Linked DNA regions of Kluyveromyces lactis. The protein of the gene in region 1 purifies or fractionates together with the protein of each later gene. This does not show direct contact. Links are inferred from orthologs where the notes say so. Each region holds a gene or a part of one and is shown in the gene's direction. Other genes may lie near its edges. The genes, in order: UTP9, BMS1, RRP5, MPP10, SOF1, NOC4 and RRP9.

Region 1 (3,615 bases):
TTTACTTTCTTTTGAAAATTCAACTGAAATTATCGAGAGTTTAGAGCACTCTTTCTATCCCGCTGCTGAGTTCATTCTAAAGAATGATATGGAAGATTTCTACCGTGAAGTGTGTGAATTTGTTGAGAATTCTACATTTCTACTGCGTAAAGTTTCTTCGATTTCTTGGAAAGTGTTAGAGTTGATTGGTGATTGCAATAGGAAAGAGGGCAGTATGGTTTCTTTCTACTTGGAAGATTTTATGATGGCAATTTCTAACTATTTAATTTACGGTAAGGACGAATTGAAGCAAAACCTTTTTTACACTAATATACTATTTGAAATATTCCAAGCTGCTACTGCAAATGAAAACGAGGACAAGGATCTAGACGAAATGTGCGTCGTGTTTGAATTTGCACAAAAGATGATTTTGGCATTCGGAGACAAAATCCCAGAACAATTTTTGAGTACATTTTTAACTACTACAACTGAAGCGATAGAAGTGGAAAAAAACAGTTTGAAAACTCATCTAAATTATGGTGTCAATGCATTCAACGTTATACTAGCATCTATGGTATACTATCCATCACAATCATTGAACTTTCTAAACCACAAACAGCTTCTTACGACTTTCCTTGAAATTTGGATCCAGTTCTATCTCCCAAAGTTTACTAGAGTCATTGACATTAAGTTGTCGATCATGGCTACCTTATCTCTTCTAACACTTGTACCCATGCAAGAGTATGTCTCGTTACACATCGAGGCCGTGTATCTGAAATTGGGGCCAATGTTGAATGATTTATTCAACAAGTTCCCTGCAGCACTGAAGGTCTTACAGGATAAACGTCAAGAATTCTCAAGTGATGCATTCAGTAAGTTTGATGGATTTAACGATGAGTGGAATGACTTCGAAGACGATGATGAAGATGCTGCTGGCGATGCTGAAGAATATCTAAAATTCTTGAAGAATGAAGCCGGAAGCCTACAACTAATCCATGAATCGGGCCAGTTCCTTGACCAAGATGATATGGATGAACTTGAAGAAGACCCATTATCTGGATCCATCCTCGATGACGTCAACATCTATGAACTTTTCCAACACACTTTCTCAAGATTGGAGCAGACTGAACCAGAGAAGTATCAAAACTTCATTGGTAGCATGTCTTCAGAAGACCAACAAGCTTTTCTCAGAACTTTGCACACAACATAAGGTGAAATGACTTGTCAGTCATTCAAATGTTGTATTAATTTCGAATGTATATACATATAGCTTTATCTACTTTTGCATCGCCGACATAATAGTTCACGTGCTGACCATTCGAGCAGCTGCTATTTACCTGTAGCCGGGTAAGAGTTTTTCTTTTTCTGGCGTTACTGAAAAATTTCCATCCATCTCATCACTTAATAGCCTAGCTAGATTGAAGGTAAAGAGTTCGATGTGATCAAAAGGTAACTTTACCATTAGTACCGGCAACTTCTGAGGCGAAGCGACAGAAATATTGAACCAGTTTATAGAATGGTTGAATCTAGTTACTCAGCTGGTGATTACATTACTAGTTTCTCTCCAGGAGCAACATTTTTCGCATTTCAATCCAATAGGTCCCAAAAGAACTCCATTGACTTATATCCACTAGAAGACGTGAGCAACTTACATATAAACAGTTCTCAGGTTCTTCAAATTGATTATGAGAGCAATGACTTAGTAGTCTCTGAAGTGAACCTTTTGACCTGGTGTAGCAACCATTCTTCCGCGGAGAACAACTGTAAAACGAGAAGTGTGAAAAGAAGAGCCGATGAAGAGATAGCGAACTCTCCATTAGAGCAATATTTTATAAATGTATTCCCTAGTGGAAAGATTGTTGTGCATTCAGCTAATGGTAAAGAGATCATTAATATCATACAGAACAAGAAAGAAATTCTAGGCATTGATTCGAAAGATGATGTTATATGGTTGTTAGATGACGATAAAACTGTGAAAAGGTTCAACTATGCTACAACAAAGCCGTTACAAACGTTCCATCTAACGGATGGTAAGAATGAAGATATCATCAACTTCCAGGTATTAAGTTTCCCACAAAAACTACTTCTGGCGGTCATCACAGAAGAGTTCGTTTATCTTGTAGATCCATCTAAGAAAAGGCCTTCAACGTTCAGCAAGATTGAAAATTTCGGATCAATTTCATGTACAGTATATGATCAAGACCATGTCGTAATTGCCGATGTATCAAAAGTCTCCCTCTACTCTTTACCAGAGAAAAAAATACTATGCCAATGGGATGTTGAATCCGAGAAGGTGAAAGTAATTAATGATAATATCGTAGTATTGGACACTGCAGGTAGAATGAAGGTTTTACTGAAAGATGCAGAAGAACCGCTTGCAAGCATAAAAGTCGAGAACTCTGAAATTTTAGATTTTGAGATCAAAGATGATAACATTGTACTAGCATGGATCGATGTGAATGAGCCTAAGTTCGAAGTAATATCTGAATCTCAACTGCATGAACAAAATGAATTCGCGTTCAATTTAGTTGATACCGAGAAACAAGCTTCTCTGGTCCCTGACGAGATCGTCGCCAAGGATGAACCTGAATCTGATAGAAAAATTTCAAAAAAGGAACAAAATGAAACTGTACAGAAGCTAATCACTGCTCTCGGAGAAGCCAATATGAATTCTGAATTAATTCTTGAAATTCTTTTACAACAACCATGGTCGGATAATAACATCCAATTATTTGTCAGAGATGATCTTAACGAAGACAGTACTAATAAGTTGTTTGAAGTGCTTGCGCAACATATATCAGCAAATGTTGATTCAGCAGGCCAAGCCTCTGTATGGCTCAAATGGCTATTAACTCTTCGTAGATCTCAAATCAAGGTTATCAATTCAAACACAAACAAAATGACAAAACGCCTAAGGTCGTCCTTAAGGACCAGCTCGGAGTCTCTCTCAACTCTCCTTTCCATTCAAGGTAAATTAGAAATGCTTTCCGGACAATCTTTCTTGAGAAAACAATTAGCATCCATGCAAATCAATGGCAAAGACGTTAATGAAATACAAGACAGAGAACAGGAAGACGAACAAGAATTCGTATATGAAAATGGAGAAGCTGATGATTTGAATGACGCTTCCGAATAATAACCGTTGATACCAATACTACGTATTTCATTATAACTAGTACCGCATATATAGATCCTAATTCCATCCAGAAAAACCATCAAAGAATTGCGGAAATACAAATACCTTTACTTTCCCCTCGCTTATTAGAGCCGCTATTTACACTATTCCTATGCGAATAACGTTCTAAATCCTTATGCTACAACTGGCTGTGTTGTAGCTTATCTCATCACATGGGAATCTTTGCTGATCTCAGATAACAAGATTTCTTTTTTTTTTTTTCGAAAAGTTTTAAAGCTCATCGCATCTTTTTAAGAACTGGTATCTCATCTTCAGCCGAATTACCATTGAGTTATCACCTCGCGTATTCGTATCATTGCATTTCGCTAATATAGTTAGTGACAAGCGCTATACGAACCACCCAAATTGTCGATAGCCTATCTGAAATTTAAAGATGTCTCAGGAAGATTCTGGAGCTGATACTAGCAAGATGTACATTTCGTACAATAATATTCATAAGC
Region 2 (4,151 bases), about 200 kb from region 1:
CAAATGCTTAGTGAAACATGATCTATCACGATAAATCTGATCCTCATCGGCAACGATTGAAGTACTACCTTGTGCTTCCTGTAACATATATTTTGCATGGGCAGGAACCAATTCTTGCCTTGTATCTCTATCTATAACTGCATTAAACTGAGCCTTTTCTTTGATAATGTAAATTTTTTGATGCTGTGATCCATGTGAGTGCTGATGATGTTTTTCAGCATCGTCATGTGAGGAATCTTGCTTACTTTTCCGTAGGTATACCGTTTCTCCAGGGAAATAGTCGTTTTTAAATCTTGCATATACCTGTTCGACGAGCATATCTAGCCTTCTAATCTCGTTGAAATGGATGAATTTTGCAACAGGTTCACGTAATTTTAAAGGGAACATTTTCTCAACGTATTGGAACTGCTCTTCTTCACTGTTCAACGCTTCAAAAAAAGTTAAACATGATGTACCAGTGATCTCACAGGTGAAATAATGTCGCCTATAAAAATCCAATCGTTGCAAAAACTCTGCATAAGTCAAAAACCATTCCCCTGTCTCTTGAATGTACCATATTTTCCTATTGATATTTGACGGTAATGGCCTAGCATCTGGCAACGTTATCGTTTTCCTTTTATACAAAACCATTGCTCACACTGTGTATTCTATCCAAAAAATAAAAAGCTCAACAAGGAAACACACACCACTGAAGACTCTGTTATCCTAGCTTTCCTGCTTCAACTCAGTAAAAATTACACGCACACAGATTGGAAAGAATAAGAACAGTATGTGTTTTCTATGACCAAAAGATGTTGTCTCGTATCCACAACAATATAACTGGTGTAGAACGTACAGTTCTTGTTGTGAAATCCAAATCACCACACAAACGAACTAAAGATAAAAAACACAACAACTTTTAGGGAAACGAATGAAACAAACGACTTTTATTCGGAATCCAACCGTTGATTCATTGACCTTTGTTCTATCCTGTTCTGTTTGTGCATTTGATTGGATTTCGATTTCATTTTGATGTTCGAATTTCGATGAACGCTTTTTTTTCCATATGCCCTTGGGCCCTAGTTACTACGGCAGAGACATGTAGGAATATCTACAAAACTGACAGAATACCTTAAATTCTTAAAAATCAGATCACGTGCAGAATCACGTGATTAGATATCGACAAGGTTCAGATCATTTCTTTTTCTTACCCTGCATGAAAAATTGCATGAAGAAGCTCAACCATCTCATCTCATCTCATCGGTGAACATAAAAGATTCTAGTATCTTGAATTGAATCAAAAGGGTCACTTTAGGCCAGTTAGTTCGAATCACATTGCCTGAATACATCTTAAGACTCTCAAGCTTCAGCAATGGAACAATCGAATAAAGAACATAGGAAGCGGAAGGAGAAGGCTGGTGCCAAGAAGAAGTTACATTCTCAGGGCCACAATGCTAAGGCCTTTGCTGTCTCCGCTCCGGGGAAAATGGCTAAGCAGATGCAACGTACGGGTGATAAGAATGAGAAGAAGTTGCATGTTCCGATGGTGGATCGTACCCCAGATGATGATCCTCCTCCGATCATTATTGCTGTTGTTGGTCCTCCAGGTACCGGTAAGACTACTTTGATCAAATCGTTAGTGAGAAGGTTGACAAAGACCACTTTATCCGAAATTAACGGTCCTATTACTGTTGTTTCTGGTAAGCGTAGAAGGCTGACTTTTATCGAATGTCCTGCGGATGATTTGAATTCCATGATCGATATTTCAAAAGTGGCCGATTTGGTGCTTTTGATGATGGATGGTAATTTCGGGTTTGAAATGGAGACCATGGAATTCTTGAATTTGGCTCAACATCATGGTATGCCTCGTGTACTAGGTGTCGCTACACATTTGGATCTTTTCAAATCCCAGTCAACATTGCGTGCCTCTAAGAAATCTTTGAAACATAGGTTCTGGACCGAAGTGTATCAGGGTGCCAAGCTTTTCTACCTTTCTGGTGTTATTAACGGTCGTTATCCAGATAGAGAGATTTTGAACTTGTCAAGGTTTATAAGTGTTATGAAGTTCAGACCTTTGCAATGGAGAAACGAACATCCTTATTTATTGGCCGATAGAATATCCGATTTAACTCATCCAGAACTCTTACAATCGAAGGGTATGCATATAGATCGTAAAGTCGCCATCTATGGTTATTTACACGGTACTCCGTTACCTTCGACTCCAGGCTACAGGGTCCATATCGCCGGTGTAGGTGACTACCAGATCGATCACGTTGAGAAATTGCCTGATCCTTGTCCGACACCTTATTACCAACAGAAATTAGATGAATTTGAACGTGAACGTGCTAAGGAAGAAGGTTCCACATCAGCAACGACTGTAAGAAGACGTAAAAGATTGGATGATAAACAAAAGCTGATCTATGCTCCAATGTCTGACGTTGGTGGTTTACTTATGGATAAGGATGCCGTGTTCATTGATGTTGGCGGTAAGACAGGTCCAAACTCAATGACTGCAGAGGAAAAAGATGAAAGTGACAAGATCGTGTCCAACCTACAGGCTACATCTCGTTCCATTGATGAAAAATTCGAGAATGTTGGATTGCAGCTTTTCTCAAATAGTACTGAGTTACATGCTATTGAAGATCAGGATGAAGAAGTTGAAGAAGACACCGAAGACGAGGATGATGTTGATAGAGGAAACGTTGGTAGATCTTCCTTAAGAAAGGCAAGAGTATACGGCAAATCCCTTCAGGAATCTAACGCAGATCTCGATAATTTATCAAGTGACAACGAAAACTATAATGAAGATGATGACGAAGATGAAGCACATCGCACTAAATTAGTTGAAATTGATTTTGATGACGAAAAACCTGAAAACATGGCCTTTGAGACAGATTCAGAATTGGATGCATCTGATTCTGAAGGTTGGGAAAGAACCACAGCTGGTAAATTGAATGGTACAAAGAATAAAAGAAGAAAGTGGGATATCAGCAAACTTATCTACATGGACAACATTGCTCCAGCTGATGCAATCAAAAGATGGAACGGCGAGGCCGACGAAACTGAAGTTGAAGAAGATCTAGAAGACGATGAAGATACTGAATTCTTCACCCAAAAGACAAATACTACACCGAATAAGGCAGTAACTTACCACGATGATCTTGAAAGATTTATTCCTTATTTTGATACATTCAATGACCTTGTTGAAAGATGGTCAACTGCCGATTCAATCAAAGACAGATTTGTTGGAAAGCCATCCTTAAACACCAAGTCTTCTGATGATGTAAAGGATGAAGACGATGATGAAGATGAAGTATACGGTGATTTTGAGGACTTAGAAGCTGAGCCTGAAAACACAGATGAGAAGGAGGAGAATTCTGCTGCAGGAGATGAAGAATCTGATAGCAACGAATCGTTCGCTGATTTCGAAGAAGAAGAAAAGAAGGATTTGACCCAGGATGAAGAGCGTGAATTGAATGCCGCAAAAAAAGAGAAATTAAGGTTACAATTCGAAATGGAAGAAGGAGACAACTTTGGAGAAGACCCTGAAAATGAATACGATACCTGGTACGAATTACAGAAGGCTAAGATTGCTAAACAATTAGAAATCAATAAAGCCGAACTGGAATCTATGACTCCTGAACAAAGGCAACAAATCGAAGGTATGAAAGCTGGGTCTTATGTTCGTATTGTCTTCGATAAGGTTCCTATGGAATTCATCGAAAATTTCAACCCAAAGTATCCAGTAATTATGGGAGGTCTTCTTCCCACAGAATTGAAGTTCGGAATTATTAATGCAAGAGTCAGAAGACATCGTTGGCACAAAAAGATTCTCAAGACAAATGATCCTTTAGTTTTATCTCTTGGTTGGAGACGTTTCCAAACTCTACCAATATACACCACTAGTGACTCTAGAACCAGGACTAGAATGTTGAAGTATACTCCAGAACATGCTTATTGTACAGCTTCTTTCTATGGTCCCTTGTGCTCGCCAAATACCACTTTCTGTGGTGTTCAAATAGTTGCTAACAGTGATACAACTGGAAGTTTCAGAATAGCTGCGACTGGTATTGTAGAGGAGATCGATGCAAGCGTAGAAATTGTGAAGAAATTAAAGCTTGTTGGTTATCCTTACAAAATCTTCAAGAACACTGCCTTCATAAAGGATATGT
Region 3 (4,006 bases), about 350 kb from region 1:
TATGGGGTATTCCTGTAAATCTGCTGTCGAATGATGACATTGAGTCCCTCTTCAAAGGTGCGTTGGTCGACCTTATCTATTGATAGAATCCACTCCATATTACTTTTTAAAGGTTTCTGATATATATGAGAATGTAGGTTGATAAATTGAAGATAATTGATTTAATGAAATTTCATACCAAGACACATAATACATAAGGAAGGATAGGAGAAAAGGCAGGCCAATGATACCTCACGTTACAATGTGGAACTTTACTGTGTTGATAAAACTCTCGTAGTTCGATAGATATATAGACTGCCCCTGAAAATGGATCGAAAGGAGCCAGAAACAGCTTTAGACTGTAATATGATGGTGCTTTTATGCCTTATAATAAATATTTCCGGCTGTGAAAGTACCTTTAGAAATGAAATTGAACAAAAAAGAGAAAAAACATATAGTCTGATCTGAAACTATTACCATAGAAGGCATTCCACTCGTAATTGCACAAATTTTTCTTAGCATGACCAACAAAACTCTTATCACTCCCCTAGAACCTTTTAGTTACATGGTTTCCACCATTACAGATATGTAATTATTATACCTCTTTAAGAAGATAGAATAACTGGCTAACAAAAGCCCTTAATAGTTAAGAAGTATGTCATGCATTCAAAAGACCCTAATCCGTGGATACGGTTCAAACAAACTCCAGTGATAACAACGGAAGATCTGTACAACGTTCCATTATTAAACTGTCACTGCATCAAAGGCGCGATTACATTTCGTCTATGTCGTTTTGATTTCTTTTTTTTAATATTGAAAATTTTCAAAAATCGATGCGATGAGATGAGATGAGATGAGATGAGCTTTAGCTACTTAAGTGCTGGATCATTTGTATTGGTATGCTAACACATTTCTGAGCTTTGTTGATTCTAGAAACCAAGTGCAACTTTCTTAATTCTGGTAAAGATAAGTCTGGTTTACTTTCTCAAACAGGAAACAGTTTGGTATAACATATTTTGTATCTTTCTCTGAATTCTTTTTGCTTTGTGCTTTCTATTGGCTTTATTGGTTTCTATCTTCACAGAAGACAAAAACAACAACAACTTGGGAACAGGAGCTTCAATAGTTTGCAAGACACTTCAAGAAAAACATAGGTTTACATCTAAATTGCTAGGTGTAATTTGTTTTGAAAACAGGCATATCTAAATACCGAAAAAGATCACAAACATGGTTGCTCCACAAAGTAAAAGAAAGAGAGACGATGAGTCTCCTTTAGTAAGACAGGATGCTACCGAAGCACCAGCCAAATCTGCATTGAGTAAATCCGAGGAAATCTCATTTCCAAGAGGTGGTTCTTCTGCTTTATCCCCATTGGAAGTTAAGCAGGTTGGTAACGAAGTGGTTGCTGATGTTTTATTTGGCAAGGATGAATCAGCTACTGGTGCAGAGGGCCCAACGAAGAAGAAAAAGAAGAATGCTAAGAATAATTTTGATCAAATTACCACAGGTGATGATGAAGAAAAAGAGGACAAGACTGATTTAATTGAGCATTTTGGAATGAAACAAATGACCAAAGGGACCATTGTCTTGGGTCAAATCCAATCGATCAGCAAACATGAACTGAAAATATCTTTGGTGGACGGTTTGCATGGTTACGTCTCATTAACAGATATCTCTGAACAAATGACCAAGATTTTGGAAAATTTGGACGAATCCATGGAAAGCGATGATGAAAAAAATGAGGACTCAGAATACGATTCTTCAGATGATGAAAGCGACATAACAACTCCTAAAGAATTACCTGATCTCAATAAATATTTCAAAATAGGCCAATGGTTGAGGTGCATGGTACAAAATAACAGCGCTTTAGAATCAAACAAGAACAAAAAGTTAGACTTATCCATCGAACCCTCTGTAGTAAACGTGTTTGAAGATGATGATTTAGCTAAAAACTGTCCACTACAGTGTTCGTTGAAAAGTATAGAAGATCACGGTGCCATTCTTGATATCGGTATTGAGAACTTAACAGGTTTTATCTCAAAGAAGGATATACCTGAATTCAGTTCTTTGTTACCAGGTATGGTGTTCTTAGCTACAGTGACGAAAAGATCTGGTAGAACTGTAAATGTCAACTTGGATTTGGCCAGTAAAAACACCAAGGTCGAAAAGATCTCTTCCATAGATGCCATCGTGCCGGGTCAATCGATTGACTTTTTACCTCAAACTATCACAAATCACGGTGTTATCGGTAAAGCCTTCGGTCTAATAACTGCATTTTTGCCATTGCCACATTCCAATTTCTTTACGGTAGAGGATTTGAAGCATCACTACTCCATTGGTGACTTAGTCAATGCTAGAATTTTGGCAACCACTATAGTGAAAAGCGGCGATAAAGTTGCTGTCGTTTCCACACAACCTCATATCATCTCATTGCATCCAAAATTACAGGAGACCGAAGCGTTAGAATCTTTCCCCGTTGGCTATATCTTCGATTCTTGCACAGTTAAAGGCAGGGATAGTCAATTTTTCTACGTATCAATCAACAATGAACAGGTGGGACAAATTCATTTGTCAAAGGCAGGAGAAACTGAACCAACGGGAACTGTGAAAGCAAGAATACTCGGCTATAACAATGTAGATAAACTTTACACATTGACGTCTGATCCAGCCTTACTTGATGTCAAATACCTAAGATCGTCCGATATTCCAGCAGGCGAAGTTTTGAGCGCTTGTGAGATTGTCACAGTGTCAGGAAAAGGTATTGAATTAAAAATTTTCAATGATCAATTTAAGGCATTTGTTCCTCCCTTACACATATCTGATACCAGACTTGTGTATCCTGAAAGAAAATTCAAAATTGGTTCAAAGGTTAAAGGTAGAGTTCTCAATGTCGATTCTGTGGGCCGTGTCACTGTGACATTGAAAAAGTCTATTGTAAATGCAGACGAAGAATCTGTGACGTTAGTCTGCAAAAATGATGATATTCAGACTGTTGAAAGTCAAGAATTGAAAACAATTGGTACTGTTGAAATATTCAAGCCTAATGGTTGTGTTATCTCGTTCTTTAATAATATCAAAGCTTTCGTTCCAAACAAAGAAATTTCAGAAGCATTTGTAAAGAAACCACAAGAACACTTAAGACTAGGACAAAGTGTTTTGGTTAAAATTTTGAATCATGACTTCGAAAGAAACAGAATTATTGCTTCTTGTAAAATTTCAGCAGAGTCTTCTTCCAAGCAAAAGAGTGCTATTGAATCTTTAGTTGTCGGTAAATCTATCATCGATGCAATTGTTATTGAAAAGACTAAAGATTCCGTCATCGTAGAATCTAAAGATTCAGGGTTGCGCGGTGTTATTTACACCGGCCATTTGTCAGATGATAGAATTGAACAAAACAGAGCTTCGCAGAAAAAGTTAAAGATTAACTCTGAAGTTAGAGGTTTGGTTTTGGACAAGGACATCAGGACTCATGTGTTCAACATGTCCTGTAAAAAATCATTGATTAAAGATGCTGAAGACGGTACCCTTCCTTTAAGTTTTTCCGACATCAAAAATAAAGACAAAACAGAACCGATGCATGGTTACGTTAAATCTGTTTCTGACCGTGGTGTTTTTGTTGCATTCAATGGTAAATTTGTCGGTTTGGTTTTACCAAGTTATGCAGCAGAAACCAGAGATATTGATATTCATAAGAAATACTACATCAATCAATCCGTGACCGTGTATTTATTGAGAACAGATGAGGAACATGAAAGATTTTTATTGACTATTTTAAAACAAAAGACCGATGTTAAGAAGATCAATTCATCTGTAATTAACCCAGTCGACAAGTCTATCAAAGATTTGTCGGACTTCACTATCGGTAAGGTTACAAAGGCTACAATTACATCAGTTAAGAAGAACCAGCTTAACGTTACGTTGGCTGATAATGTACATGGTCGTATCAGTATTTCTGAAGTTTTCGACAGTTTCGAAGATATCAAAGAACAAAAGGCACCATTAAGTGTGTACAAGAAAAATGATTCAC
Region 4 (3,701 bases), on another chromosome or scaffold:
ATATGCAGCTTTTGGTCCAAAAGGTCGTGCATTGATCTCGTTCCTATTTGCTATGGATTTATTAGCATGTGGTGTAGCCTTGATCATTTTGTTCGGTGATTCATTGAACGCGTTGTTCCCAGAATATTCGGTCAACTTCTTCAAATTCGTCGCTTTTTTTGCAGTTACTCCTCCAATATTTTTGCCATTAAGTGTTTTATCAAATATCTCTTTGTTGGGTATTATCTCGACTATTGGAACTGCATTGTTAGTAGTTTTCTGTGGGTTGCTAAAACAATATTCACCAGGGTCATTATTGCAACCAGAAGCCACATCGATGTGGCCCAATTCATTCAAGGAGTTTTGTCTTTCCTTAGGGTTATTGAGTGCATGCTGGGGAGGTCACGCAGTCTTTCCCAACTTAAAGAGTGATATGAGGCATCCGGAGAAGTTTACTCGTTGTTTGAAGACCACTTATAGCATCACCATTGTTACTGATATCGGAATTGCTGTCGTTGGATTTTTAATGTTCGGTAATCTTGTTATGAATGAAGTGACAAGAAGTGTGTTATTGACTCCAGGATACCCGCCTTTTGTTTATGGCCTAATTTCAACTCTTCTTTCACTGATTCCACTTGCCAAAACACCACTTAATGCAAGACCGATTGTCTCCATCTTTGATTCAATGTTTAACGTAGTGCACATCGATGAAACTAAACCAGCATCGAAGGTTTTTTTCGCAAAGGCAACCAGAATATTTAACAGAATCATGGTGAATGTTATGTTCGTGATTATTGCTATTTTATTCCCTGAATTTGACAAAATAATTGCATTCTTGGGTGCTGCACTTTGTTTCATGATTTGTTTCATTCTGCCATGTTTGTTCTACAAAAGAATTTGCTACAAAACCATTAAATCTTGGGAATTGATAGCGTGTAATATTACGATATTAATTAGTGCAGTATTATCCACTCTTGGAGTATACGCCTCCTTCACCTCATGAATTACCTACAAATGCTGTTGAATTTGCCAGCACCTCATTCTTGTATATGCATCTACGTGTCTTTATGCAAAATTTTAGCACCCAAACTAAGGGAATCACACTTCATATAATGACTTTTCACCCATATGTACTTCTGTCTAGTATTCATCACCCAACCAATGCCTCACAACTGTGTCTATTATCTCTCTTCTTACCCGCATTGGCGACAGTTCCCATCATTTTTTTCTTTTTCAAATTTTTGGATACCTGAAAAATTGATGAAAACTCATCTCATCGCATCACTCAGCATGTACGAAATATGCGTCTATAGTAGCAGCTTGATCGTATCGATACATCCACTACAGCTACACCAGTAAATAGGTAACGTTTCACTGACCCACACATAACACAACATGAGTCAGTTTTTGGAAATTTTGAAAACTAATCCTGTTGGACTTCTTTCCCAGGATGCTCTGGAGTCCAAGGAACCACTATCGGCAGTGAAGACTTACTTTGACGAAGTCATCAATCTGAATAAAAACAATGGAAATTCAAAGACAACATTAGATGAGATAGTGGTTGATGGGCTAGATGCTAACCAGGTATGGTGGCAGTCAAAAATCATTTTAGATAATGTTCAAGGTGATATCATGGAAAAAATCGCCGAACTGAAGGTTGATAATGAGAATGATATGAGCGAGGAAAGCAGCGGAGACGAAGATGATGCCTCTAATGTTGAAAATTCCAATGAAATGTCTGCAGACGAAGCTCCAGTTTCTGAAGAGTCTGCTATTGAAGAGGAGGAGGAAGAAGCAGAAAATGAAGAGCTCGTTTTAGATGAAGAACAACAGTTCTCAGAACCAGAACCTTTAGAATTACATGAGAAGGAAGAAGATAAATTGGAAAACGAAAGTGATTCGGAACCTGATGATCAATTTGTAGAAGCACAAGAAAGTCCACAAGCGATCGAAGACAAGTTTGGTGTAAACGATCAATTTTTCAATCTAGATGAATTCAATAGACAAACACTTGAGGCTGAGAATAGAAGCCAAGATGCAGATGAAGAAGATGAGGATGACGAAGAAGTTGATTATTTCGCAGATGTTCCATCGGAGGAAGATGAAGAAGCTCTATATTACGACGATTTCTTTGATAAGCCATCTAATAAAAAATCTTCCCAGGACAGGCGGCCAGGACCTTCAAAGAAAGCAGAGGCCGAAGAGGATGAATCCTTTGACGAAAGCGAGTATGATGATGCAATGGAGGAAGCTAAGTTAGATCTTTTTGCTGACGAAGACGATGATTTTCAGGGATCAGATGAAGAAACTGCTGAACAACCATTATCTACCTTTGAACGTCAACAACTTGAGCTAAAAAGACAAATAGAATCCCTCGAAAAGGAAGCTGTTGCTGAGAAGAAATGGGCGTTAAAAGGTGAAGTAAAAGCTCGCGATAGGCCAGAAGATGCCTTGTTAACGGAAGATCTTGAGTTCGAAAGAACTGCCAAACCTGTGCCAGTTATAACAGCTGAGGTAACAGAAACTCTCGAGAATATGATCCGTAGAAGGATCAAGGAAGAAGATTTTAACGATCTACAGAGGAGGGTTATCAGCGATATTTCAGGCTACAATAATAAACCAAGATTCGAACTAAGTGATGTAAAGTCATCAAAATCACTAGCTGAAATTTATGAAGATGATTTCAAAGGTGTTACCGAGGATACTGAAATATCAGAAGAATTACAGAAAAGTCACGATGAAATTTCAGAGCTATATAAAGATTTGGTTTACAAACTAGATGCATTATCGTCAGCCCACTTCATACCTAAGCCGATAAAGAAAGATCTTGAAGTAAGAGTGCAAACCGCCGCTATTTCTATGGAAGATGCACAACCACTAACAATGTCAAGTGGTTCCACATTAGCTCCTCAGGAAATCTACAAAGTTGGTAAATCAGAGAACTCTAATGAAATAACTTTGAAGAATGGTGTGGTGATGTCCAGAGATGAACTGTCCAGAGAGGATAAAAACAGACTCCGTAGAGCTGCTAAGAGAAAGAGATCGAAGCTATCTGCGAAAAGAGCCGAACAACCTAGAAAGAAGAGTAAGACGGATGATGTTCTTAATACCTTGACTAAATCCAAGAACATAACCGTTATCGATAAAAAGGGTGCCAAAACTGATGTTAAGGGTAATATAAAGAAGGATAATGCATCTGGTAACATCAATTTCAAGTTATAGACACTGTTACAGTAAGTATATATTACTATAATTAATGCAATTGCATTGAAATGAAGGTGGTAAATAAGAGAATTCTTAATTATCTTTTTATCCCCCAAACTATTTATGTTCTTGAGATTTATGGAATAATGATCTTACACCTTTTACAACAGAAGGACTGTAATGCTTGACAAGAAGGCTATTTTCCCATATAGTTGCTGCTTCTGCATTACTTCTACTTGGTAAGTCTGTGTCGATGCGGAACTCCCCATTTCCAATTCTATCGTCTGTAGAGTATAAACCCAGTACTTCTGGATATTTGGTAGTTAGTTTATCCAAAAACTTCAGCAGTGCAATTGATGTTTTTTCTGGAGTGTGCAGCAAAGCCATGTAAATTCTCTTTGTGAACGCAGCAGCTCTTTGTTTAGTGCCAGATTTTGATCTGAAAAAGACATGATCAAGGGCTTTCAACAATAACTCTGCTTTTGTTGATACGTTAACTGATGGTTTGACGAGTTCAT
Region 5 (3,100 bases), on another chromosome or scaffold:
AGATTGAGTGATAAATTAGATAATTTAGTTGCATTAGCACCTGCTGTTTATCCCGGTCCACTACTCGATGAAAAATATTTCGTTAAGTTTATGGCGAAACACATAGATAATCGCTGGGTATTCGGAAACAAATCATTTGTACCAATGATGATGGAGATGAGAAATTTGTTGGCCGGACACAAGATATTCTCATTTTTGTCTTACGTCATGTTCAACTACTTGTTCAACTGGAACGATATTTTATGGGACAGACCCTTGCGTGATAGACATTTCCTATTTTCTCCAGTGCATATATCTGTGAAATTGATGCAATGGTGGTTAAGTCTTAACCCTTTAAAGTCAAGCTTCAAGACTTTCGCCGAAGACATGTTCCCCGACATCAAGACCTGGTTCCCAATACAAAATGAAACAGTAAGTATGGATGAACATTTACACAGAAATCAACATAAACCTTTGCCAGAAAATTGGCCAAAGATTTTACTCTTCACACCCAGGCAAGATAGACTTGTAGACGGAGAAAGATTGATTAATCACTTTATCAACCACGAACCACACTCTGTCTACAAAATCTGGTATATTGATGAGTATTCACATTTGGATGTTCTATGGGCCAGTGACGTTATCGAAAGAATTGGTAACCCAATGCTTGCACATTTGAGAATTCCGAAACCGACATTTGCCAGTTAATTAATACAGATAACTTTGAATCACAGACTAGAATGGAATTTTGACACTTTGTTTCCATTTTGTGCAACCCAACATATAGATATACAGTTCTGCAATCATTACATTTTTTGTAAGATATATAATATACTAATGACACTACTTAAACGGTAAAAAAAGGGTACACAAAGATAATCCCAATACAGCTTTGGAAACTCAAGTACTCAGTGACTGTAGCAATGGCTAAATCATGTTGTTGTTATTTTAATAAGGTCTTTAACTGTCATCTTATATCGTCCTTGTATATTCGGCATAATTTCTTTTTAACAATTTTTCAAGTTATCGAAATGCAAATCTCATCTCATCTCATCGCATCATAAGCAGTGAAAGGGAATGGGAAGAGGAAACCACTGGAACTGTTTCCATATCATAGTTGCTGATTAACTAGCACAAGGTCTACCATATTTAGTGCCAACTGGGGATATTGAAAGAATAGCGAAATGAAGATCAAAACTATCAGCAGAAGTGCCGATGATTATGTGCCGGTGAAGAGCACACAAGAGTCTCAGATGCCTCGTAATTTAAATCCGGCTCTGCATCCATTCGAAAGAGCTAGAGAATATACAAAGGCTTTGAATGCCACCAAGCTTGAAAGAATGTTTGCTAAGCCATTTGTCGGTCAGCTTGGATACGGTCACAGGGATGGTGTGTACACCATTGCAAAGAATTACAATGTATTAAACAAACTTGCTACGGCTAGTGGTGACGGTGTTATCAAGTACTGGAACATGTCAACTAGAGAAGAGTTAAGTTCATTCAAGGCACATTACGGTATGGTTACTGGTCTGTGTGTTACTCCTTCATATTTATCTCCACAAAGAGAAAACTTCATGCTTTCTTGTGGTGACGATAAGACGGTGAAGCTATGGTCAGTGAATTCTGACGACTTTTCCAACGTTAAAGATGATACAAGATTGAATACAGATGAAGGTATCATCAAAACATTCCATGGTGAACATGCTTTCCAATCTTTGGATCATCATAGACAAAAATCGAATTTTGTTACTGGTGGTGCCCAAATCGAACTTTGGGATACAAACAGATCAAAGCCAATATCAAATCTTTCATGGGGTGCGGACAATATCAATCATGTTAGATTTAATCAAAATGAGGTCGACATTTTAGCAAGTACGGGTAGTGATAACTCTGTGGTTCTTTATGACCTAAGAACAAACTCTCCAACACAAAAAATTGTTCAAACCATGAGGACAAACTCTATCTGTTGGAACCCAGTGGAAGCCTTCAACTTCGTAATTGCCAATGAAGATCATAATGCTTATTACTATGATATGAGAAATATGTCCAAAGCTTTGCATGTGTTTAAAGATCATGTTAGTGCTGTTATGGATGTTGATTTTTCCCCTACTGGTGACGAAGTTGTAACAGGCTCCTATGATAAGACAATCAGAATTTACCAAGTTAAACATGGTCATTCGAGAGAAATATATCATACAAAGAGAATGCAGCATATTTTCCAAGTGAAATATACCATGGACAGTAAGTATATAGTAAGTGGTTCAGATGATGGTAACGTTAGACTATGGAGAGCCAAGGCATGGGAGAGATCTAATGCGAAGAGTACACGTGAAAAGAATAAGTTGGAATACGATGAAAAACTTAAAGAAAGATTCAAGCACATGCCAGAGGTCAGAAGAATTAGCAGGCACAGACACGTCCCTAAGGTTGTTAAGAAAGCTCAAGAGATTAAGAAGATTGAAATTGATTCTTTGAAGAGAAGGGAAAGAAACGAAAGAAAGACAAGGAAAGACATGCCATTTTTACCTGAAAGGAAGAAACAAATCGTCGGTACTGTCTTTCAATACGAGGACGACAAGAAATCTAATTCGAATAGATCCAACGATTCCGAAGATGAATAAAATATATGAATTTCTATCAGTTTTGAATTAGATATTTATAAATTTGTAACGTTAATAAGCTCGAAACATGTCTCTTTTTTCTTGAAGTTATAAATCAAGGTAGTTGATCAAGTTTTCCTTTCAATGAAAAATCGTTTTTAGCAAGGAACTATCTTTTACCGAGATTAGCAGATATCTTCTTTATAATTTGAATCATGGGTTGCATGTAACGAATTGAATCCTTTCATATTCTTTTACAGTATTAGATTAGAAGTATAGTTCCATAATAAAAGTGAGAGAAAAAGAAAAAAAAAAAAAAGAGGAAGTGAACACAAGAAGAACCAGCCTTGCTTGCCCAATATAATATGATGAGTATTATAGTACTAATGAGTCTATCAATTTGAAACTATGGCAATGAATATTAGAGAGAGGGAGAGAGAGAGAGAAGAAGATGTGGTCATGCAAAAAAAAAAAAGACCCAATATATGCAATCGTTTGCATAAACAAAGCATAAAATGAAT
Region 6 (3,511 bases), about 580 kb from region 1:
TCCGACAATAGCCAATCTTTCGTGAACTAGAATAGTAGAGTTCTTAACAATGTTACCTGACCAATCTGGACCACGGTGTCTGATTCTCTTGGATAATTGTAAAGCTTTTGGTTTGTAAGCCTGAACATCAGGGTTTCTGAATGAAGCAAATATACCACACATCTTGGGTCCTGTTACTTCGTTATTCTGTATATCTAATTGATAAGAGCGAGTAAAAAACCAATACTAATACAAAACAAAGATCCTAACATAAACATATAAACAATTCTTATTACAAGCGAGCATTAGTTTTCTTGTGATGAGCATCAATTCTTTATACTTTTTCCAAAATTTTTCACCAGAGCTTGAATCGCCGTATTCTTTTTTCTTTCGAGATATTGAAAATGACTCAGTATCAATTGCATATCAAAAGAATATGACAAAGCAGCAGAGAAACGAAAAGTAACGAAGTGAAAATGAAAATTGGTGCCAGATTCTAACTCTGATTCATAGTTGATTCATTTGTTCCCGCTCCGACTTGTCATATTCACGATACCATCGTATCACGGCATTTTTTTCTATCTAATATTTACGTTTACGTTTACAGTTAGTTTAGTTTTTGAAATGAATCGCACAAGGCGATTCATATTAGCAAGAAGCAAGACTCAAACACACAAACTCACATCAAGTCTATACATGGGATGACCTTCCCAAAAAGAATCAGAATTTTATAAAAAGTGTCCCAAATCATTCAAAGAATGTAACAAGATTATAAGGCTTGCGAGGGCACCACATTCTCCATTAAAACCATGAACAGAAAATAATTCCCATCCACGAAAGAATTGTAAGAATTAAAAAAGCGCAAATAGTATCATCGTCTTCTTTTAAAACTTGGAAGGTCATGTGGATTTAAGCCCAAAAAGAGTAATACAAGTAAAGCCTATCAAAGTTACATCTCTTCTACATCACCAATTGTGTCTTGTAATTTCTTGGTTCATAAATCTTTCTCTTATATATGATGAAATTCGGGCTAGATCATTTTATACTAATCGTTGAAATTTGTATGCTGTTAGGGCTCATAGGCTGCCGTGAACTGGAGGATACGCACCCCCTGAAGGAACGAGCATCAGTGTGCGTATTCAAGGTGATGCAGGCAAGACTTGACTGACAACAGAATGGTTTACCACTCTAAATTATATATTTAATGTCGCCATTGATAGCTAGTTTATTAGGAAATGCGATCACGTGATAAGAATAATTTCTTTTCAATTGTCTTCTACATTGCAAGAATCTCTGAAAAATTTGGAATCAAGAGATGAGATGAGATGAGATGAGATGAGATGAAGTCGAATAGGAAACGTTAAGGTAGGATATTCTCACCGTTATAATCTGTTTGATTACTCGCAATAAATAATTGGAATTCACATATAAAAGTTTCCCAAGGATTCAGACAGCGATTAACCAAGATGCTCTCGAAGGAAGAGATTAAGCAAGTTTGGAAGTCTATTAGCACCGGCAATGATAGAAAACATTACAACTCGTTGGTGAACCTAATCCATGGGTACAATGAACTTCTAAAGGAAAACGAATTGTTGCACAATTTGGAAGATGATTACCGTTATATGACCATTGCTTTGAGTCAGATTTTCATCAAACTTTTTGAGCGTGGTCAATTGATGCCTCATCTTGCATCCAATGCCAATGAAAAGAAATTCTTTGAATGGTGTAAGAAACTATATTTAAATTATAAGGTTAAGTTATTGGCTATCATTACATCTTTGCATGAAGTTAACTCGTTGAGTTTAGATTGTTTGGACTCATATATGAAAATGCTTCACCATGAATCGATATATTGGGCTTCGAAACCAAATAGTCCTTTCTTTCCAAATAAGACTTTAAGATCGTTACTAGTGGCTCTTTTCCATTGTAACTTTGAAGGTGATATCGGTTTCAAAGATGGTCAGAGCGAGAATCCCGTGTTTAATCTATTTGTGGAAGCCTATTATAAGAAGAATTTCGATATTCAATTCTACACACAATCAGAACTGATATCGTTGTTACCAGAACTTGATGGCCAAACATCTGACGAAATTTTGATGTCTAAATGGTTGGCTTTATGCAACAACGATGTTCAGGGATCACCAGACTTGGAAATATTCGTATCTGTGCCCCCACAAGCCATCGAGAATGATGCTAAGTTTAAATCCAACCTCGAAACAAATTGGTTGCACTGTCTAAATTTAGCCAACTTATCCAGTAGCCAATATAAAACTGTGCTTTTAGTGCTACACAAGAGAATTATAGTATGGTTCCATCAACCAACAAAGCTTATGGATTTCCTTACCGACTCTTACAACCAAGGTGGTATCGTTTCAATCCTTTCATTAAATGGTTTGTTTGAACTTATGAAAAAATACAACCTAGAATATCCAAATTTCTACTCAAAACTATATCAGCTTCTAACTCCAGAAGTAATGCACGTTAAGTACAGATCAAGATTTTTCAGATTAGTGGACACCTTTCTATCTTCTACACATTTATCCGCACAACTGGTAGCGTCATTCATCAAACGTTTGGCACGTTTATCCGTATCGGCACCACCAGGTGCTATTGTTTCTATAATACCATTCGTGTACAATCTAATCAGAAAGCATCCTACATGTATGATTCTATTACACGATCCAGAATACATCGACTGCGATTCAAAGAAAAGGCAAGAATATCTAGATCCATTCAACAATGAAGAAACCAATCCAGAACTTACAAATGCTCTTTCCTCCTCAGTATGGGAGCTAGAAACGCTAATGAATCACTACCATCCAAACGTAGCCACTTTAGCGAAGATTTTCCAACAACCTTTCCAAAAGTTAAGCTACAACATCGAAGATTTCTTAGATTGGTCTTACGATTCACTTTTGCAAGCAGAAACCAATAGAAAGCTGAAGATCCAACCTGCTCTTGAATTCGAAAGGTTTGAAACAATTTTCGAATCAGGTTCTGATTCAGCATTCCTACCCTTCATAAAATGGTAAATACATAATTTCAAGTAGAAAACTTAAGTAGTTCAATTCCAAATTGAGTACTTTCTTTCACTTTCGCAAATCTCTTCACATTACATCTCATCACATCGCCGTAATATTGAAACATCGAGATGAAAAAAATCAACAAGTCAACATCAAGAAGAGAAAGACTCACATCAGAAAAAACTTTAAAATGGGCTCCGTTTATCGGTCTTGAGGACTTAAAGGCACATACCATACCAGTTGGCTGCTTTTTTACCACTACTATTGAATAAATGACTGAGGAAGTGAAAGCCTGTAATCCAGAGAAAGCCTTAGAGCTGAAGAATGAAGGTAACAAGTTCGTGAAGGAGAAACTGTACGCAAAGGCAGCTGAGTATTATACAAAAGCCATCGAGCATGATCCCGAGAATACGATCCTATATTCAAACCGTGCGTTCACCAACCTAAAGTTGGATAACTTCCAAAGTTCTTTAGACGATGCTAAACGTGCAATTGAATTGGATAATAAC
Region 7 (3,494 bases), about 590 kb from region 1:
AGTGTTCACCATTCATTACTCACAATATCATGGTATTACTTACTCGATGTTCCAACAACATCCGCAAACTGGCAATAAATACTTCCAAAGAGAATCTCCCTTACCAATAACGTTGCCTCAACAGAATCAGCCGGGAAATGATGATGAAGACATTGAATTTTTAAAATACGATGATATTTTCAATTCATTCAACCCCCTAGGTATCAAATCCTTATTCTTCTCAAGCTTTGGTGATCCGTGTATGTTTGGTCATGATAATGTTTTGTTAATTCTGTCCAAATGGAGAAGTGGTAGTGACGCGAGATGGGTACCCATAGTTGATACCAATTTAGAACTTTGGAAGATGTCAGGGGGTAAGCATCCGAAGAACGTCCACGTTTGGCCATTAGGATTAAACTTCGATACATTTTCGTATTTATTATTGAAGGGGAAGAACGCATGGCCAGATATCCCAATGACCGTTCCTACAGAAATGGAAGTCAGAATCCCAGTTGTATCAAAATCCGAGCTTCAAAAGACACAAGACGATAATCGTAACGACAGCAGCGATGTGGAAGATATTGATAACAGTAATGGTGTCGAAATTCCAATGTACCTAGCAGCAGAAGAGGAATTTCTACGCTCCAAGATACTAAGTGATTTACTAAAAGACACGATGGATAATGAAGGTGAGATATACGGAAATGAAACAGATCTATTACAGCATCTGGTAGCAACACATGATAAGTCCTTACTACGACTTTTAGCTTATGTCTGTTCCGAGCAAGATGTTAACAAGGCCGTTTCAATCGTCAACGAACTGAAGCAAGATAAGGCCCTATCTGCTGCAAGAAAAATTGCAGAAAGAGCTGAACTACTTCCACTAGTAAGAAAAATCAACACGATTATTGAGGCCAAATTTGAGGCCGATTTCAATAATATATGATAATCCCCTGTTCTTCTTATCTGGACTAGAATAAGTATTGTCAGTTTAAATAATAATTGATTTTCCGATCCGTGCATTGACGTTCATTTTCTGCCGTAATGTAAATTAAACTAAGTAATTCTAGCAATACCAATGAAATCAGGCATATAGGTCGTTGAATCGAGTAAAGTCTTCCAAACTATTATTTAATTCTGTTGCAAGTTCATGCATTCTTCAATTTTTGTCACTTTTCAAGTGGTGTCGTTTCTTTTACAAATTGGCGATACTGAAAAAAAAATTGTACATCTGAACCAACATCATTGAAACAGGCGATGAGCTGCAACTAAACCAGACGAGACAGCAACCAGAGGGCCACCAAGTACACCATGGCTAGATCTAGTACAAGCAATGTCTCAAAAAAACGTAATAGGGATTCTGTCGAAGAGGTAGATGAGGAAATCACGGATATTTCTTCTGATGAAGGTGATGTCCAAGATGAATCCAATGATGGCGATGAGGTAGCAGAATACTTGGAATCTGAAGACGAGTTTGAAGGCGAAAACCCTGCTGATAAGAGAAGAAGATTGGCTAAACAATATTTAGAGAATTTAAAGGCTGAAGCTGAAGATATTGGCGATTCTCTGGCGACCGCAAGCACTGAACAGGACCGTCAAACACAATTAGAGGATTACAATAACTTTGATGCTCGTGACTTGGACAGAGATATCATTGCTTCCAGATTGAAACAAGATGTTGCAGAGCAACAAGGGCGTATCTATAGATGGATTTCAAATAAGCTTTTGATAGGTGAATCCAGAACAACGTTTACAAGAGTAGGCGAAAATAATCTAACATGTATTTCGTGTTATCAACCCTCAGTTAACAAGTTTTCTCATAAAGATGTTCAAAATAAGAGCAAGGACAAAATATTTGCTTACACTGTTAGCAAGGACATGCAATTAACAAAATATGATGTTACTGATTTCAAAGCTAGACCAAAAAAAGTGAAATATGTTAAAGGTGGTAGAAAATACATACCGGAAGGTAAATTTGAGTACGAGAATGTGACAGAAGGTCATTACGATGAAATCTTAACGGTGGCAGCTTCTCCTGATGGTAAATACGTAGTTAGTGGTGGTCGTGACCGTAAACTGATAGTATGGAGTACCGAATCTTTAGCCCCTGTGAAAATTATTCCAACCAAAGATCGTAGAGGTGAGGTTTTAGGATTAGCATTCAAGAAGAATTCGGATCAATTATTCGCAGCATGTGCCGATTACAAAATCAGAACGTATGCTATTAACCAGTTTTCTCAACTGGAAATATTATACGGTCATCAGGATTTGGTTATTGATATCTCTGCCCTAAATATGGAGCGTTGTGTGACAGTGGGGTCCAGGGATCGTACCGCTATGTTGTGGAAAATAGCTGACGAATCCAGATTGACATTCAGAGGTGGTGATGATCCTGAAAGACTGAGGAAAAAATGGTTGAAGAACCAACAATTGTCCGCAGAAGGCGGAGAAGATATGCATGAACAGACCCCACCTCACTTTTATGGCGAGGGAAGTATCGATTGTATTAGCATGGTAGATGATTCACATTTCGTTACTGGCTCTGATAACGGAAATATATCATTATGGTCTTTATCCAAAAAGAAACCTCTTTTCACCGTTAGAACTGCTCATGGTGTTGTACCATTAGTTGAGGATAAAAAAATCTCTGGGGAAGTGAGCGATGAATTACGCAATGCACAATTACAAGGTGGATCCATTGCCCAACCATTTTGGATAACATCATTATACGCCGTTCCATATTCTGATATTTTCATTTCAGGATCCTGGAATGGAACCCTGAAGGTATGGAAAATCAATGAGAACTTAAGAGCATTTGAACTATTAGGAGACTTACCTAACTGTAAAGGTGTGGTAACCAAAATTCAAGCCGTAGAATCCGGCAGAACCGGTAGAGAAACCTTCAGAATTCTAGCAAGTGTCAGTAAAGAACATAGATTAGGAAGATGGATTAGCAAGGTACCAGGTGCAAGAAATGGTATCTTTTCTGCTGTGATAGAACAAACCGGATTCTAGTTAATCTTATCAATAGAAAAATCTCCTGTATAGTAAAAAGAAGAATACTTTAATAAAGCCGAAATACATTAGTAATTGTTACAAGGGTATATATTTATATATAGAGAGCTCTAACCGATCAATGATGTAGAGAACTAGGAAAGGATTAATAGAAATCATTGTGACATGATTTTGAGTAGTGTCTTTCATTGTCAGCCATGATAAAATAAGGTGTTAGAGAACGAATTTGAGAACAGATAAGATTTAATTCACATAGCCAGCGACGTAGAGAATTAAATGCGGGAACATCAAAGGAATAGCTCAAAGGATTAAAGGAAAAGATCGGGAAAAGTCAAATGGATTTTTTTATTTTAAGTATTAAGCGTTCCTCATGTTCTTGTAAACAAGCAAGGAACGAAAGAGTAATAAACAACACAAATCGTCTCAAGAGAAAGCAAACAACTCCCAAAGTAAAGGAATCATAGGAAGGCCAAAGCAATACCAGCGGCAGCACCAATCAA

What was found.
Region 2: the proteins of UTP9 (region 1) and BMS1 purify together in Saccharomyces cerevisiae (affinity purification with mass spectrometry; 4 studies listed by BioGRID). This does not show direct contact. The link is inferred for Kluyveromyces lactis from reciprocal best matches to the Saccharomyces cerevisiae genes UTP9 and BMS1.
Region 3: the proteins of UTP9 (region 1) and RRP5 purify together in Saccharomyces cerevisiae (affinity purification with mass spectrometry, with the first as the bait; 3 studies listed by BioGRID). This does not show direct contact. The link is inferred for Kluyveromyces lactis from reciprocal best matches to the Saccharomyces cerevisiae genes UTP9 and RRP5.
Region 4: the proteins of UTP9 (region 1) and MPP10 purify together in Saccharomyces cerevisiae (affinity purification with mass spectrometry; 5 studies listed by BioGRID, with this or other methods). This does not show direct contact. The link is inferred for Kluyveromyces lactis from reciprocal best matches to the Saccharomyces cerevisiae genes UTP9 and MPP10.
Region 5: the proteins of UTP9 (region 1) and SOF1 purify together in Saccharomyces cerevisiae (affinity purification with mass spectrometry, with the first as the bait; 3 studies listed by BioGRID). This does not show direct contact. The link is inferred for Kluyveromyces lactis from reciprocal best matches to the Saccharomyces cerevisiae genes UTP9 and SOF1.
Region 6: the proteins of UTP9 (region 1) and NOC4 purify together in Saccharomyces cerevisiae (affinity purification with mass spectrometry; 7 studies listed by BioGRID). This does not show direct contact. The link is inferred for Kluyveromyces lactis from reciprocal best matches to the Saccharomyces cerevisiae genes UTP9 and NOC4.
Region 7: the proteins of UTP9 (region 1) and RRP9 purify together in Saccharomyces cerevisiae (affinity purification with mass spectrometry; 3 studies listed by BioGRID). This does not show direct contact. The link is inferred for Kluyveromyces lactis from reciprocal best matches to the Saccharomyces cerevisiae genes UTP9 and RRP9.

The regions. Positions count from the first base shown.
Region 1 is NC_006038.1:376,679-380,293, reverse strand, and holds UTP9 (Utp9p), read left to right. Parts: upstream 1-1,495; coding exon 1,496-3,115; downstream 3,116-3,615. Other genes in the region: NMD5 (Nmd5p), read left to right, coding at 1-1,189; XPT1 (xanthine phosphoribosyltransferase), read left to right, coding at 3,549-3,615. UniProt on the Saccharomyces cerevisiae protein: Involved in nucleolar processing of pre-18S ribosomal RNA. Required for optimal pre-ribosomal RNA transcription by RNA polymerase I together with a subset of U3 proteins required for transcription (t-UTPs).
Region 2 is NC_006038.1:180,197-184,347, reverse strand, and holds the start of BMS1 (GTPase BMS1), read left to right. Parts: upstream 1-1,351; coding exon 1,352-4,151. Other genes in the region: KLLA0_B02090g (uncharacterized protein), read right to left, coding at 1-630. UniProt on the Saccharomyces cerevisiae protein: GTPase required for synthesis of 40S ribosomal subunits and for processing the 35S pre-rRNA at sites A0, A1, and A2.
Region 3 is NC_006038.1:728,644-732,649, forward strand, and holds the start of RRP5 (Rrp5p), read left to right. Parts: upstream 1-1,206; coding exon 1,207-4,006. Other genes in the region: YPK9 (putative acid anhydride hydrolase), read right to left, coding at 1-40.
Region 4 is NC_006040.1:821,799-825,499, reverse strand, and holds MPP10 (rRNA-processing protein MPP10), read left to right. Parts: upstream 1-1,374; coding exon 1,375-3,201; downstream 3,202-3,701. Other genes in the region: AVT1 (Avt1p), read left to right, coding at 1-982; NOC3 (Noc3p), read right to left, coding at 3,301-3,701. UniProt on the Saccharomyces cerevisiae protein: Involved in nucleolar processing of pre-18S ribosomal RNA. Required for the early cleavages at sites A0, A1 and A2 during 18S ribosomal pre-RNA processing.
Region 5 is NC_006042.1:1,438,447-1,441,546, forward strand, and holds SOF1 (rRNA-processing protein SOF1), read left to right. Parts: upstream 1-1,163; coding exon 1,164-2,600; downstream 2,601-3,100. Other genes in the region: KLLA0_F15576g (uncharacterized protein), read left to right, coding at 1-687. UniProt on the Saccharomyces cerevisiae protein: Required for ribosomal RNA processing.
Region 6 is NC_006038.1:952,674-956,184, forward strand, and holds NOC4 (ribosome biosynthesis protein NOC4), read left to right. Parts: upstream 1-1,445; coding exon 1,446-3,011; downstream 3,012-3,511. Other genes in the region: ASN1 (asparagine synthase (glutamine-hydrolyzing) 1), read right to left, coding at 1-162; PPT1 (protein serine/threonine phosphatase), read left to right, coding at 3,275-3,511. UniProt on the Saccharomyces cerevisiae protein: Involved in nucleolar processing of pre-18S ribosomal RNA and ribosome assembly. Has a role in the nuclear export of 40S pre-ribosomal subunit to the cytoplasm.
Region 7 is NC_006038.1:970,261-973,754, reverse strand, and holds RRP9 (ribosomal RNA-processing protein RRP9), read left to right. Parts: upstream 1-1,290; coding exon 1,291-2,994; downstream 2,995-3,494. Other genes in the region: chromatin-binding protein CTF4, read left to right, coding at 1-925; KLLA0_B11055g (uncharacterized protein), read right to left, coding at 3,453-3,494. UniProt on the Saccharomyces cerevisiae protein: Involved in nucleolar processing of pre-18S ribosomal RNA. Required for efficient pre-rRNA cleavage at sites A0, A1 and A2, and biosynthesis of 18S rRNA.